2 linked regions of the Schizosaccharomyces pombe genome follow. The protein of the gene in region 1 interacts with the protein of each later gene in a pairwise test. Each region holds a gene or a part of one and is shown on either strand. Other genes may lie near its edges.

Region 1 (8,971 bases):
CGGACTTATTATGCTATTTCGAAACGCCTTTCTTTATGAGGAAGGAATTGTTTCCACTAAATCCACATCTAAAATATACTAGCTGCTTTCCATTACTTCCCCTCAGAAATGACAAGGCTAGCACAGTGAATATTGAATTCCCATACCGAGAGGGAATCGTTACTCATCCATCTCCGCAAGCAAAGAATAAATATATTATAAATGCTGGACTATCTCACAATGTAATCGTTTCCAGCCCCAGCGTCCTTGCTCCTAGAACAAGGGTCACGGTTCGATTAAAAGCGCAGTCTCCAAACGAAGAAGGCCAGCTTCAAGGTGATATCGTGTCTTTTTCAGCTCCACGAGAAAAAGGTGGTCATTATTGGGGTTACAAGGTGCGGTCATGTCTTTCTTCTCAGCTGTGTAAAAGTTCTCCTTACAAAGGTGGATATGACTTTGTTGTTCAAATCAACAGTCAGACTTCAGCTATTACTTCAAAAGAGTTAGAAGCGAGTTTACCAAGTTCGTTTCGGCATGCTGTTCTTGTTTTACAAGACAATGTCGTACAAAAAGAGCTCGTAGACTCCACTGCCAAAAGTATTTCTTTTAACCCATTCCCAGTTTCTTTTCTAAATGATCCCATTCCTGAAGAGATACTTTTGGCGGCCATGACCCGTTTGTCAGATATGTTGCTGATGCATGGACGACGATAAAGCCTAAATACTTACAAAGGTGAAGCTGTCTTTTTCTTACTTAAATATTATAAAGCTGTCTCGCTAATCAAGGAAAACAAAATCAATTTTGAATATGATAAATTATAAGGATAACTTGGGTATAAAGACGATATTAGAAACTAAGACGAGAATTATTATGATTAAAATTATATCTAAGAGTGTATTGTTGAAATAAAGAATAAAAAAATTTAAAAGATGATTCGAGTCAATGCAAAAAAGGGTAATTCTGTTGAAGACAAACTCCTATCGAGTGTACCTAGATAAGCAGCCATGTTTAAACACTCATAGAAGCAGGGTTTCCTGATCTCTTTTTAATAAGATTCTCCATAAAATATTCGCCAGCCTTATAGCTACTACGAACAAGTGGACCACTAGCCACGTATAAGAATCCTAATTTCTCTGCCACTTCTTTCCAATATTCAAACTTCTTAGGATGTACATACTCTTGCACTTTTAGGTGTCGTTTGGTAGGTCTCATATATTGACCAAAGGTAACGACATCTACATTATGTTCCAGGAGATCCTTAAGAGTTGTTAGAATTTCCGCATCGGTTTCACCTAGACCAAGCATAATACTGGTTTTAGTGATAAGGTGAGGACATGTTTTCTTCACATGTTTTAGCACGCTCAGACTTTGTCGATATGTGGCTCGTCGATCTCGAACAAATGGGGTAAGTTCCTCTACCGTTTCTACATTGTGTGCAAAGACGTCCAAACCAGATTTAGCTACAATCTCAACCAAATCCATTCTTCCACTAAAATCGGGGGTCAAAGCTTCTACCAAGATGTGCGGGGCTTTTTCTTTAATTTTTTGAATCGTTTTTGCTATATGATTGGCACCAAGGTCAGTCAGGTCATCTCTATCGACACTAGTGAGAACAATGTACCCAAGGTTCCATTGTTTGATGGCTTCTGCTGTATTTTCAGGCTCGTTGGGATCTAAAGGACCTGGACGGCGACTGGTCTTTACCGAACAAAAGCGACATCCACGAGTACAAGTATCACCCATAAGCATGATCGTAGCTGTGGCACGAGATTTGTCTTTACCTCCCCAGCATTCTCCAATATTCGGACATTTCGCTTCTTCACAAACCGTATGGAGATGAGATCCCCGCAAATCATGCTTTATTCGGTTAAAATTTGTTCCTAGTGGAACTTTGGTTTTAAGCCATGAAGGCAATCTTTTGTGTATAGAGCCATTTGGTAGCTCTACTTTTCTATCTAACTCGAAAGCTTCGTCAGCAGTCAATGGTTTATCCATGTTCAAGAAATCTGCAAATGATGGTCCTTTCGCCAACTTTTCTGAAAACCCTCCAGATTGAAACCTCACGGAGGCAAACTATGCTATATTAATAAAACTATAAATAAAAGAAAACTCACCCAAAAATTGTTTTTTAATATCGTAGCATTTCGACCTATTTTCAACATTGCTGTGTAGAGGAAGTAAGGACTATTAGACAGTATGGGATTGGATATAAAGTACTAACCTTACTACTACCTATTATCCGTGTTAGCCCATCAATAGAAAACAGATGTTTTAAACGTTATTTTACCTATTAAACAGTCTCCTTCATAATTCGAAGTTTCGTTTTTTTTGTTGAATACGACTCAGTTTGTGGACAATTGTAAGAAAATTCAAAACATTAAACCAAGCTGTTTACCATAGTTTTGGACACTAATCAGCCAAACTACAAGCGTAAAGTAAAGATATAATTGAATATTTTTTTCAAATAAACTCTCAAAATTTTGTGGTCTCACGTACTATGGTAAATTTCTCGTCATAGGGATTCTCCTATTTTTTGAGTGATTTTCAAAACTTTAGCTTCCTATTATGAATATGTATAGTATGTTTCTGCAAGGTCACTTTGATTTCGACTTCGATTTACTCATTTATGAAAGCCCTGTAAAAACAGGCCTAGACAGATTTTCTATGTAACCTTTTAATTTTAGAGACACATATGAGTATATTTGAAACTTTTTTTGAAAATAATGCTTCTCTTCTTTAACAGCTTCCGTCTTTTTTATGCGTGATTTACAAAATCTCAAGTAAGAATTTTTTCTATTTATTTTCGCATGAGCAATGCTTGACATAAAACGAATTAAGCTGGTTAAAGATTGCTAAATGATATTTGAGAGCAGCTTTGTGCACTCTTTTTCAAGCATTCTCTCATAACTTTTAGCTAGTGCATCTTGTAGTGAATTTAACTTTTGGTTTCTACCTTGGAGGTTGTGGAATGAATTGTTACTAGTATGTCTATTATTAAATGAGAAATACTCAAACTCAGCTTCAATGAAATAGAGATAGATCATGATCAATGGCTGCAAAAGCGAGGTGGCATAACAACCCAAAAGCCATTTGTTTTGGTTTAATTAAATACCCATTGCTTACTTAAAAGGATCTTTACTCTAACGTATAGATATATTTCTTAAAAACGATCAAAGTTTCGTTAGTCTACACCCTAGGTTTCTATTCACAATGTAGTGTGATTTAGGCCAAAATTTAGATAGAAACTAAAAAGTAACTACAAAATAATATTTGAATAAAAAAACTAGATTCTCAAGTTTCTTTCTTTACTGGACGATATTTCGTCCTATGCATTATATTGCCAACCCTTGCTATAAACCAGCTACCTATCTCCACACCACACATCAATTTCTATAAAGTACTCAACTTGAGGACCTTAAGACTAAATATTCATGTCATTTCAAGATAGGACTGCTGAATTTCAAGCATGTGTCACGAAAACTCGATCTCGTTTGAGGACAACGACTGCAAATCAAGCAGTAGGTGGTCCCGATCAAACCAAGCACCAAAAGAGCGAATTTACAAGGATAGCCCAAAAAATTGCTAACCAAATTAATCAAACTGGCGAAAAGTTACAAAAGCTATCACAACGTAAGTATTTAGCTTATTGGGCATAGTCACAAACGAACGTTGCCTAAGTCTTTTCAAATCAAATGGTTAAGTATGGCTAACATTTCTTTAGTTGCAAAAAGGAAGACTTTGTTTGACGATCGGCCAGTAGAAATTCAAGAACTAACATTTCAAATTAAGCAAAGCTTATCGTCTTTAAATTCGGATATAGCTTCACTACAGCAGGTTGTTAAAGGAAATCGTAACAAACCTGCCCAAATGAATCAACATAGCGAGAACGTTGTCGTTTCTTTGCAAAATTCTCTCGCAAACACCAGTATGACCTTTAAAGACATTCTCGAAATTCGGACACAAAACATGAAAGCATCCCAGAACCGCACAGAAAAATTTGTTGCCTCGAGTTCCATGAATGCTAACCCCCTTATAAATTCTGGAAACTCGATTTCACCATTTGCTGATTACAATGATCCTAAACCTGAAGCTAATGAAGACTATTTATCCTTGAATCTCGGGGATGGTGCTAACACTCGTTATGAGCAAATGGCCTTACTTGAAAGCCAGACTGATACGTATTCCCAGCAGCGTATGTCTTCTATACAAAACATCGAAAGTACTATTACCGAGTTGGGTGGTATTTTTTCGCAATTAGCACAGATGGTCTCTGAGCAACGTGAAACCGTACAACGGATTGACATGCATACAGATGATATCGTCTCAAATATTGGAAGTGCCCAGAGAGAGATTGTCAAGTTTTATGAACGGATGTCTTCAAATCGAGCACTACTTTTCAAAATTTTCGGTATAGTGATTATATTTTTCCTTCTTTGGGTGCTCGTTACTTGAGTGCAAAAAAACATGCAATCCTCTTTTCTTTTTTTACAAGTCTGTACAAATCTTTTGACATACCGAAAACTATGCCGCCTGTATTTTTCACCCAACTTCATTAATTTTTATCCTTTTTCTACCAATACCGGAATACCTAGTATCCTGTCGATTTAATGCCTTATGGTTTAATCTTTAAATATAGAAATAACACCGAAAAGTTTATTCGTGTCCATCCAAAAATTGTAAATGACTCTTATTAAATACCTGGACCTGTCGTCATTTCATTCCTTTTCCTTATTTGTGGTATCATATTTTTCTTTTATTTCTCTATGGACTCGCTTTCCTCGTCAGAAGCAATAATTGTTTCTTGTACATTTGCTTCGATTTCTTCCAGCGGCCAATTTGTTTCCTCTTTTGTAATTGTACATTCTGAGACTTGATAGGCTAATGCAGCTAGCACATTATCACTAAAATTATTGGTGAGTCTTTAGAAAAAATATGAATTTCAGTTTACTTACTTTGCTGTCTGTATCCAATAAGCATAATCGTTTAGTACTATAGCGTTGTATATATAATAGACATCGTGATGTTCAAAAAGGTTTCGAATACGAAGTAAAACTCTCAATATCCAACGCTTTCCAAGGCTCAAAATCGCATGGGTGTCTTTCCAACAAGTGAGGGCAAGGTCCCAATTTCTATACAAAGGGTATGCCAACGAACGTCTAATACATGCAATAAATATATCTTTGATTGCAAGGAAATTTGTATCGAGACAAGATATCGTGGATGAAAGTGTTCCGATATTCCAACATGATTCAATAGTTGGATCACCCAAAGTAGTCCTATTGTCGTATGCGTATGCAAAAATCAAAGGAACTAAACAAAGATAAACATTCTTCGGATTGTCAATAAGGTAGCTTCGCTTTGGTAATTTGGCTAAAGCTTCTTTTTCTTCGCTTGTAAATTCTAAAAGTCTGTCGGATTTGCCTTGTTGGACCAGCAAAAATTCCCCAATATAATCAGGAATATAATGCAATATTTCATCGATCATCTCCCTGTCATAAAAATCTGCCATATAATGTTCAGCATCAAATTTTTCATCTTCTAGCTGTACACGTATTTCACTTCTCGTAGAAGGAGGAGTTCGCTCTGGTTCAGGAATTTGATTAATTTCATTTCCAACCAAAGCATTATACTTCAGCAGTCCTGAATACTGATTATTGAAACCGTATTGAGACGTAGATGTGTACTGCATCTAATGATAAAGTTAGAATGTCGACAAGTCGCGCAAGAAACAAACCTTTTCATCATCTAACCGTTGCAACAGGCCCCAATCGAAATCGGGATCATCGAAATGAATATTCTGCCAGTCAATTTTAACCTCTTTTTCTTCATCCTTGCTGGCATTTTGCGAAGTTGAAGGTGATGGGGTATCTTCCACTTCCTCGATTAAGGGCTTTTTGACAGGTTCTTTGTTTTGGTTTACAAGTAAAGTAGTTAGTAAATCCAAGTCTGGAAATACTTCTCCAGGAGTCTCCTTGGGAAATTTAATATGCACAAAACCACTTGAAATATCGTATGAAGCGTTAGCCCGATCATCATCTAAAACGTTACCAGGCAGTTCTAGTCTTTGGGAAAAAGTTAGTAAACACTGCTTCAATTTTAATAAGAAATATTTAGATAGCCCAAATACTTATGGGATTTAGAAAAGACTTACTTAAGGAAATAAGGTGCAATGCAAAAGTTCACTTCATTGTTAAAAGCATCAATTTCAACGTTTTTAGCCTGCCTTGGTGAGTTATTACTCGATTAGAATAAGAACCATACCTTTATATACGGAGTATGCACATCTAAATACACAAATTCTTCATCCTGCCTCAATTCAAATTTTGGAGTGATCATTGCAGCTGGATGGTTTTGAATGCATTGCAATTAAAATTTCGGATTGGTCATTATCTTAAGAACTCATTTTCAATTTTTTAAATAGTTTATGAATAAGTTTAGATCACTTAAATTACCGTGAATTTGCAGATTGAGTGACCTATTCTTTAATTAGTTTAGAAACAAAGGACTGTTAGAATCACCATCAATGAAAGATAATGTATTTAATTTGTTCACTAGTTAATGTTTTCAGAACGGGAAGGATTCACGAAATTGTCTTTAGCTGGGAAAGCAATTTGGTCACTTACATGCCCATACTTACAATTTTTAACAACTTAAAGGTTTAAAGTATATGAAGTAGTAAAATATATTATATACGAATTGTTGAATCAATTTATTTCTACTAAAGCAGAAATACTGTTTTCTTTATAGAGATGCTGATTCGAGTGCTAGTATTCCCTACTTCAACTCCCTCTCCTCTCATATCAGTTTTCCTTGTTTTATCCTAATTGTGGTCAGTGGTCACTTCGTAGCATACAAGGATAATGAATGCTTTAAATAAAATACCTTTCACAAGAGCGCTGTATCATTTTTCAAGGTTCCGATCATTCACGACTTCAGGATGGATTATGTCTGGGCATAACAGTAAGTTATTGATTTATAAGCTAGTTATAGTGTTTTTGCTTCTATGAATTTTCAAGATAAAACAAAAGTAAAAAACGAGACCCATTGTAGTAAAGAATGTAGGCTACTCAATGTTGACTATGATTCTTTGCTGAATTACTGGGATCTTTCACATAAGACAGAAGAATTGAAAGTGATAAAATTTGAACTGTATTCATATCCACTTTTATAAAGTGTTCAGTTAATTGCTCGAACATACAATTAAGTGAATGTTCAGGTTTTCTTGCAAACTGGGTTACTGTCAACAACAGTGAATTTATAAGATCCATAGACACTATAATGTTACCAGTTTTATATACGCATATTAACCTTTATAGAGTGGTCAAAAATTAAGCACAAAAAATCGGCGAATGACCAGGCAAGAAGTTTACAAATTGGAAAGTAAGGGCTCGTCTTGTTTCACACTACTATCTAATAACAGTTACTAATATTACTGTGTATCCAGACTTTCACAGGGAATCATTCTAGCAGTTCGACAAGAAGGTGCCAATCCTGAATTGAATATGCGGCTGGCGACACTACTAGAGAGTGCCAAGAAAATATCCATGCCGAAATCTGGTATTGAAAATGCAATTAATCGAGGATTGGGTACGGCTGGAAGTGAAGGTTCGCAAGTTCATTTTATTGAGTATGAAGCAATGCATCCATCAGGAGTCGGTCTTATAGTTGAAGCGGTTACAGACAATCGAGCTCGAGCTGCTTCTTCAATCAAACATATTTTACGAAATCATGGGGCTTCTTTATCGACTGTCAAATTTTTGTTTAGCAAAAAGGGTAAGGTGGAAGTAAATCTTCCTCCAGAAAAACGAGATTCTATGAAATTTGAAGATGTTCTCGACGATGCTATTGAAGCTGGCGCAGAGGACATAGTCAATAGGCCCAAAGAGTACATAGACGAAGAAGATGAAGGTGAATTTTTGATTTTAACCGAGCCCTCTAGTTTAAACCAGGTGGCTCATCATTTTCGATCTAAAAACTATGAAATCAAAGATTCTCGTTTAATCCATATTCCTCTGGAAGAAACGGCTATCGATGTACCTGCAAAAGATTCTGTCAGAGAAGATATTCAAAAATTAATCGACGACTTGTATGAAAACGAGGATGTAATGTTCATTCATTTGAGTATACTGAATTCCCACTTTTTGCCTATTCTTGATGAATAAGGTTAAAAAAAAGAAAATTAAAAAATATGAAACTTTTTTCTCCTTGATGAATCATATAATACTATGAGATTTGATTACTTACAAACTATGAGCTAGTTGCTCTAACGTCTACAAAAACAATGTTGCGATGCAATTAAATTTTTAAATAAATCTATGTGGTTTTTGCTGATCGACTTAAAAAATATGCTCATAAATAAATAGTTCATTATCACCTATTTCATAGACTGGAAAGCATGTAATAATTAAACCTTGTGATAGAAAAGTACAAAAGACAAGTAAAAGTCAAATCTTCAAAATCCATCTTTTCCGGCCTCCATAAAGATTCCAGTCTCATGTTTTATAAGATGTACTCTTGATCCATATCGTCAACAAGAGGATCGTTGGAATCACGCGAAAAAACGGTTGATATACTGGGCGCTAATTGCCTTTGAACAACTTGAGCAGTGGTATTAGTCCTAGGCATGTGAGCACGCTTCCTTTGCCGAAAAGAACCAGCAACCTCGCGCACCAGTACTTCGAAGACTCGATTTACCACTGAGGACTCAGTATCCAAAACTTCGACAAAGTTCTCAAAGCTGAAATTTTCAAGCTGCTCAGGTAATCTTCCATTATAATGTTCAAGCGCTTGATCAATCAGCTTCTTTGTTTTTCTATTGAAATTTGCAACATGGTCGTTTGAACTGGACTCTATTAAAGGGCGTCCCATAACACCAAGATGCTACGCCGACAATTTATTCAAGACCCTCTGAAAATTTCAATACTAATTGAATATGTGATATACGCTGTTTCTAAGGGAGAATCAGGCAGGTCCCACCACCTTGCCTCCAGGC
Region 2 (6,617 bases), on another chromosome or scaffold:
CCTGCTCACATCAAGCTAGTCTCGTCTGACACTCAAGCAACAACTGAATTGGGATTTAATGGTTTAGTGCAGCAAGTTTCTGAAAATAACACGAATGCATACTCAGCTACTTCGAATTCGCAATTAAGTTCAATTTTTTCTAATTTGTCATCTTCTATATCAGATGCTTCATCAAACGTTTTACAAAATCCATCTCTTTCGATACCAAATTACTCGAATGCTATATAAACTGAAGATTTTCACAACTTACATATTTTAAGCCATGTCTAACTTAAGTTATAACTGAGAATCTTATGAATTATATGTTTTTGAAATTTTTTTTTGTTAATTTTTTTTTTTTTTTTTTTGTTTGAGTTTTAGAACAGCAATTACATTTTCTTTTTTCTGTTCCCTCAGCTCTTGGTCTGAAAGTATATGTCGTTTACAAATAACCGCGATTTGCGTATAATGAACATTGATGCTTTCCAAATTTTCAATACGATGATGGACTACACAAATTCGACAAAAAAGTCATGTATCAAATTAAGAGTAAATCATTTATTTCATACAATATTGGCTGAACAAACATGATGGCCAAAAAATAAAACTAAATAATTTTTTAAGATAGAGAAGCCATTTCTTCCATAAATTCAGATGGCGATAATATGTCGGTACTACCGTATATGATACGCTTCTTAGGATTTTGTTCACGCGCCCAATCAGCCAGATTACCATATTCTAAATAATTACCACCTCCTAGTACGCAAACAATTGCTTCACTAAAAGTCTGTCTTTTGTTCATGGCCCTAGGATCATTGTTTACAGTAATAGCACGAGCTGATTTGGGATCTAATAATAGATAAGACTCTGTTTGTTTGGAGGCAGGAGAAGAGCCAGGGTCCATTAGACTCTGAACAATAGATGTAATAGTCCCATCCTTCCTGAAGGGAATCAGATTTCTAACCCCCGAAATAATATTTTCAAGGCCACCAATACCGGCTTCTTTAAAGCGGTCGGTAAACTAAAAACAATTAATATGTGCTTTAAGGTGAAAAAGTGTCAAACTATTCTTACCCTTGTGGAAAGACTGCTAAATCCACGAAATAAATTATCTCCTGTTTGACCCGTAGCTGGTCTTGTGGTAGAAGATGCTAACATGGTCATTTTAGTTATTTCACGAACCCTAATATAAGTTAGAAAAAACCAATAACATCAATCAGTATACCTCTTAACAAAATTTAATGCTTCTAATGTACAGCCATTGTTAACCAACGCCTCTTCATATGCCTGCAAATCAGAAGCCGGTACGGAATCAACACTTAAATACCAAATTATAAAAAATCGTAGCTTGTCTTCGGGAGTTCCTTGTTCCTTGTTATTGATGCAAGCGAGAATGGCACTTCTGTTTAGTCCAGTTATATTATCTTCTAACTGAAAAAAGTCATCTAAATGGCGCTCTTGAATAGCTTTTAATAATGCAGTTGCTATATTCATATGCATGTCAAGGATTTGTTTACGAGCTGTAAGCTCTGGGAGCAAGCTAACTGCACTTTTTAAATAAGTCGAATCAGCAAATGCGTCAACATTAACTTCTTCAAGTGAAGAAACACCGGATTTTCGGGTAATTTCACTAGCATCATTTTTATATCGAGTCAACTCTTCATCAATGTTTTCGGCAACTTTAGGAAATGGTTTGCTAGCATTACTTTCCCAGAAAAAATCATTTCCATCTAAATCGTAAAACCGCTTTGTCATTTTTCCATCATCGACTGACTCTACGGTAATCCTATTGAGTTGCATATTTAGGGTATCATGAATCAAAGCTTGGTAAGTCCAAGAATGATTTATCATTGGAATCAAATCGACCGTTCTATCCAGTAAAATAAGAATTGGCCTTGGTTTTGGATTAACAGAAACAAAAGCATCCTTGGTATTCATTAAATGGTCCTTTAGACGTTGATTCAACTTTTGGGCAACCATCTCAGCAGCCGATCCTTGTGGGCAACGAATGATAGGAATGGTTCCGAGTGTAACGATCACTGAAAAGAGACCATTTACAATATCCTGAACGCGTGAATTAATGAGAGCCTCATCTGAAGACGGGTTATGGAACGTATGAAAGATTTTGGGCAGTTGAAGAGAAAAAAAATCACTTTCTAACACAACATAATTAAGATACTGGTCATACACTTGATGAATCATGTGACTTGTATTTGTTTTCGACGCCAATTCGGCAAACTGTTCCAGAAGAGCACGAGAAATGGTAGATGAAAAACAGACATAGGCTGATTCGTAAAGACCCTTCGAAAGATCCTTTAAAATATGTTAGCTTGCTGAACTGTAATACAAAAAAGTATTTGGTATCCGACAATAAGATTAATTGATTGAAAATTATGATACTGAGAAATCCATACCTCTATTATTAGCTCAATGTTTTCTTGAGTAGGTTGAACAAAGTAAATAGCTGGGACATCAGCAATAGGCTGACGAAACGAAGTGATATTCATGTGAACCGTAACGCCATGTTTTCTGAGATCACTAATTCTGAGAACAGAAGAAATAGTCTCCGACCCTGCCTTATCGAAGATTAAAACTTTCCAAATGGGAAAATTAGAGGCATGTTGAGGGCTTGATTCAAGTTCGTTGACGTCTTGGTTCAAATTAAGCAGTTTTTCTAAAGATTCTAAAGGTTCATATTAGCAATGCTTACTGAGAATTATACAGTTTTATTAGCAACACTACTTACGAATTTGAGCTTCTCTCAAAGAAGACGGTGTTTTTACAGATGCAATAGACATCGTGCCAATTCCAACTTTGGCACTAATATAAGCACTTAGAAGGATGATTTGTGTTGAGGGATAAACATAAGAATCATACCCTTCATATGGTGGTGTATGGCAGTGAAGCGAGTCTCGCTAAATGTTCAAAAAGGTAAACAACAAAATAAATATTGAGGTTTGGCTGTTTTACCAAATCTTGTAGTCTTCAATCTTTACTAAAGATTTCTGATTTTCATTAAATTTTTAGATATTTAAAAAAACAGTACTAGTGCACCGGAAACATTCAAAGCGTAGGAAGGAAATCAATCTTGCGTTCAGTAGTTTACTTTTCTAAGATTTAATCTCAGCTTTCTAACTGTGCTTACATTACATATATTTCTAAGAGGTGTTCTTACTTTACTATTTACTTATAAAGATACAATTATTAAAAGAGTATCCAAACGCAAAAAGCTCTTAATTATGAATTTAGCCATTAATGATTTGCATATTCTAAGTGTCTAGGATCATATACGATGGCTAAAGTTGCTCATGGGATCAAATAAGTAGAAGGCATGTCTTCGTTTATTTTTTTAGACTGAATTAAACAAAATATGAAATTATTCATTGATCATTATGATGATAATGATACCGTAGACCTAATCATCGTAATAGTAATTAATTAACAGCAATGATGGATGGAAAATATAATTAAACAATGTATTGATGGAAGGAATTGGGCAAAGTAAACCGAAAATATGACAAAGAAGGTGTCGGACTCGAATAATGATAATGATAAAACAAAAATCTCAAAAAAAACGGAATAAGGACAAGGATAGTGATGACAAAATGAAATGACAGAACGATTATGATAACAAAAAACGGTAGTAAGCAAAGTGTTGGGAGTAACGTCAATAATTGAGCTTTGAAAGAAAAGAAAATGGTGAGTACGTTAATCCTAGAATAGTAAAAGCAAGAATAAGCGATAAATATGGAAGCTCAAGAAAAAAATAAAATTAGTGTGATCAAGCTGAATGCTATCAAGAAAGCAAATGGTAAACGAACTGGTGATGGGGTCGATGGAATGATAGAATGAAGATAGTCAATTAATTGGTTGTGAACAAAGGATAATAGTGATCATGACGAGGAACAATAACAATGATTCTGGAAAGCTGAGCTGTAATCAAACGGGAGAAATAGTAAAGAATTCGTCAGTGGATAGTACAATGATAATGTGTATAAGTGAGAATAGTTGGTTTAATGATAGCAAGCTGGAAAAATGCAAAATTGGCTGGTGGGTTAGCTTAAAACCGGCATCAACGGAAACAGTAGCAAATGGGAAAATATTGTGGTAATAGTAAAAAATGGATAATGGTAAATGAACAAACTACCCATGAAGTAACGGATCGAGAAGGGTTCATGAATTCATCAGCAAGAAGTAAGTAATCTTTAATAGGTAAGAAAAGTAAAAGTTCACAGACCGGCTTCTCTTAGTGATAGAAGAATGGTTTGAAAAACTAATTGACACATTGAATGAATAAAACTCTGCTCAGAAGGTTGAAGGTAATTTTTCTTTAAAGACAAAAAATTACATAATTTAAAAGAAGACATTGGAAATCACGGAAGAGTAGTAATGTGACAAAGCAAAAAAATTTCAAATTTGGGTGGGAAACAATCAAAACGTGTAAAAACGATAAATCAAAAACTTTCAGTAATAAGGTTTAATTAGAGTCAAGAATAAAAAGAGTTTTTTTTCTGAATTTTTTCTTTTTCAATTTTTTTTGGAATTTTAGATTTTTTTAAGGCAATGTTTAGTTAGGTTTGGACAATTTTCAAGTTTTTTTCAGAGGAGTTAGTGTTAAGTTTTTGGGAGTCTCTGTTACAAACTAAATTTGCATGCTGAGTGAATACCCGTAGAATTGAGAATAAGCAAAAATAAATGGAAACATACTGACTTGCTGATGAACAAAAGTTACTTCGCGAGTATTGGAACTAGTCGTTTTCGTGGTCGGATGTTTGAGGATAGTTCGGAACATTGCAGTTGAAAGGAAAAGAGGGAACGGCTGTAAAGGGGATAAAGGGCTGATACTGGATACCAAAATTTAATATTGGATCCGAACCTGGAGGAATTGCTGGACAATAAGCTACAGGATATGAAAACGGTGGAGTAATAAATTGCTGCAATGGAACATTCTGTTGGATAGGAGAGTTGGATTTAGACTTTTGAAGCTCTTGTTCGCATCTATCAGGAGCATAGCGGATTTTGCTCTTCTTGAACAAAGGATGTATAGGCAAGCCATTGACAGCCTTCATGGCATTAGATATATTTGTATAGGCAACGAATCCAGAACTTCTATTTTTTAAATATTTAATTGATTCAATCTCTCCATACTGACGCAGTATGAGCTCTAACTCTTCGGTAGTAAGTGAATCTGATATATGGCTGAAGTAAACATTTCTGGAAGCGCCCATCAATATAGAATCTTCTAAAACTCTGGGCAAAGGTCCACTTTCTTTACCCCATCCTACTTTAATTCTTCGACCGTGTAATAAAACTTCTTCCTCAGCCAAGTAGTCGTGGAAAGCGTTGGCGGCCGAATACGTTATAAATGTAACGAAGCATATATGTTTTTCAGGAATATAGTGGAAGTCTTGTAACCCTCCATGTCGGATTAGATCGCATATTTCATGTCCTTTAGTCTTAGTATGGAGATTGCCAAGGAAGACAGTACGGTTTCCATTGTCTTTTGATTCCTGCTGCCTGCAACGGTCAGACGTGGTATCCGGATTTTGCTTGGAAGTGAAACATGACCTTTCATCAAATGAAGGTGGATGATTTGCACAGCGATCTGAGCCAAAAAATATTCGCCATGAGTGATAGTCAGGATCGCAAGATAAGGTACGAACAACCTTGATTGCGTCGCGGATGTTCAAAAAGTGAACAAAAGCAATATTCTTTTTCGAGAGGATTTTTATGTGCTCAATCTTGCCGAATTTACCAAACGCTTCTTCAATTTCCTTCTCGTGATAAGAAGAAGGAAGATTGCCGATGAACACATTACGGCTGGCCGCAGTGTTCGAGCAAAAATTTTGAATCGATTCAGGTAAAGGAGAAGGTCTAGCAAATGTCAATTTGAGTGGCCTACCATGAAAAATGAATCCACGAGGATGGTACCTTTCATAAAAGAAAAAGGCATCAGCAGAATCAAGAAATGTAATTATAATCCTGCGTTTTCCAGGGTTGGACTGAATCTTCTCTAATGGTCCAGAGTGGATAAGCGAAAGTAATTCGGAAATTTTGTAGTCAACTGGCAAGTTACCAAGGATTAAAGCACGAAAATCTAACAAGGATTCGTATTCTGAATTGAATGGTGAAAATTGCTCCGCAGGTTGTTGGGCAAACGGAGGAGGAGTACCTTCTCGAGGTAGGAAATTTGGACGGTTTACAGGTTTTGCATGATACATATTGTCGGTATAGTGGGCATAGGGCATCGGTATGAAGGTGTTTGCTGAAACATACATGTTGGGGTAATAGGTTGAAGGTGGAGAAGGATAAATGACTGAAGAAGAGTCCTGGTCAAAATGAGGATAACAAGGAGAATCGAGTTGTTCGGGAGGGGGATTCATTGATTTAGGAGCATACCCATTATGAGATTTCGGAATAAATTCTGCGGCATTGATGTTTACATGGAAAGAAGGATTAGGTGAAAGATTTTTGTGCTTTTTACCACCACAGTCAAGGTTGGTACATTCATTATTGTCCACTGAATTAAGACTACTGTTATCATCTTCTGAATCATTTAAAGTGCAAATGCTGTTGGCCGTGCCAGTACTTCCTGTCTCTTGAAAGCAGCAATCACTATCAACGAAGTGACCGTTGTT

The links. The genes of interacting proteins can lie anywhere in the genome.
Region 2: the proteins of sed5 (region 1) and sly1 interact in a two-hybrid assay, tested with the Schizosaccharomyces pombe proteins (one large-scale study listed by BioGRID).

What each region holds. Positions count from the first base shown.
Region 1 is NC_003423.3:1,379,468-1,388,438, reverse strand, and holds sed5 (SNARE protein Sed5), read left to right. Parts: upstream 1-3,343; 5' UTR 3,344-3,410; coding exon 3,411-3,609; exon of another isoform or gene 3,610-3,700; coding exon 3,701-4,431; 3' UTR 4,432-4,732; coding exon of another isoform or gene 4,733-4,880; 3' UTR 4,881-4,931; coding exon of another isoform or gene 4,932-5,668; 3' UTR 5,669-5,713; coding exon of another isoform or gene 5,714-6,041; 3' UTR 6,042-6,130; coding exon of another isoform or gene 6,131-6,198; 3' UTR 6,199-6,240; coding exon of another isoform or gene 6,241-6,315; 3' UTR 6,316-6,529; downstream 6,530-8,971. Other genes in the region: SPOM_SPBC8D2.16C (uncharacterized protein), read left to right, coding at 1-692; lipoic acid synthetase Lip5, read right to left, coding at 988-2,052, 2,094-2,141; box H/ACA snoRNP assembly protein Shq1, read right to left, coding at 4,733-4,880, 4,932-5,668, 5,714-6,041, 6,131-6,198, 6,241-6,315; tac1 (cytochrome C oxidase subunit I translational activator), read left to right, coding at 6,840-6,939, 7,296-7,359, 7,424-8,141; SPOM_SPBC8D2.11 (uncharacterized protein), read right to left, coding at 8,479-8,847. UniProt on the Schizosaccharomyces pombe protein: Required for vesicular transport between the endoplasmic reticulum and the Golgi complex. Acts as a target organelle soluble NSF attachment protein receptor (t-SNARE).
Region 2 is NC_003421.2:1,919,357-1,925,973, reverse strand, and holds sly1 (SNARE-binding protein Sly1), read right to left. Parts: upstream 2,815-6,617; 5' UTR 2,778-2,814; coding exon 2,726-2,777; intron 2,663-2,725; coding exon 2,394-2,662; intron 2,293-2,393; coding exon 1,205-2,292; exon of another isoform or gene 1,163-1,204; coding exon 1,054-1,162; exon of another isoform or gene 1,001-1,053; coding exon 599-1,000; 3' UTR 501-598; downstream 1-500. Other genes in the region: ppn1 (cleavage and polyadenylation specificity factor complex-associated protein), read left to right, coding at 1-228; mug24 (rrm type RNA-binding protein), read right to left, coding at 4,728-6,617.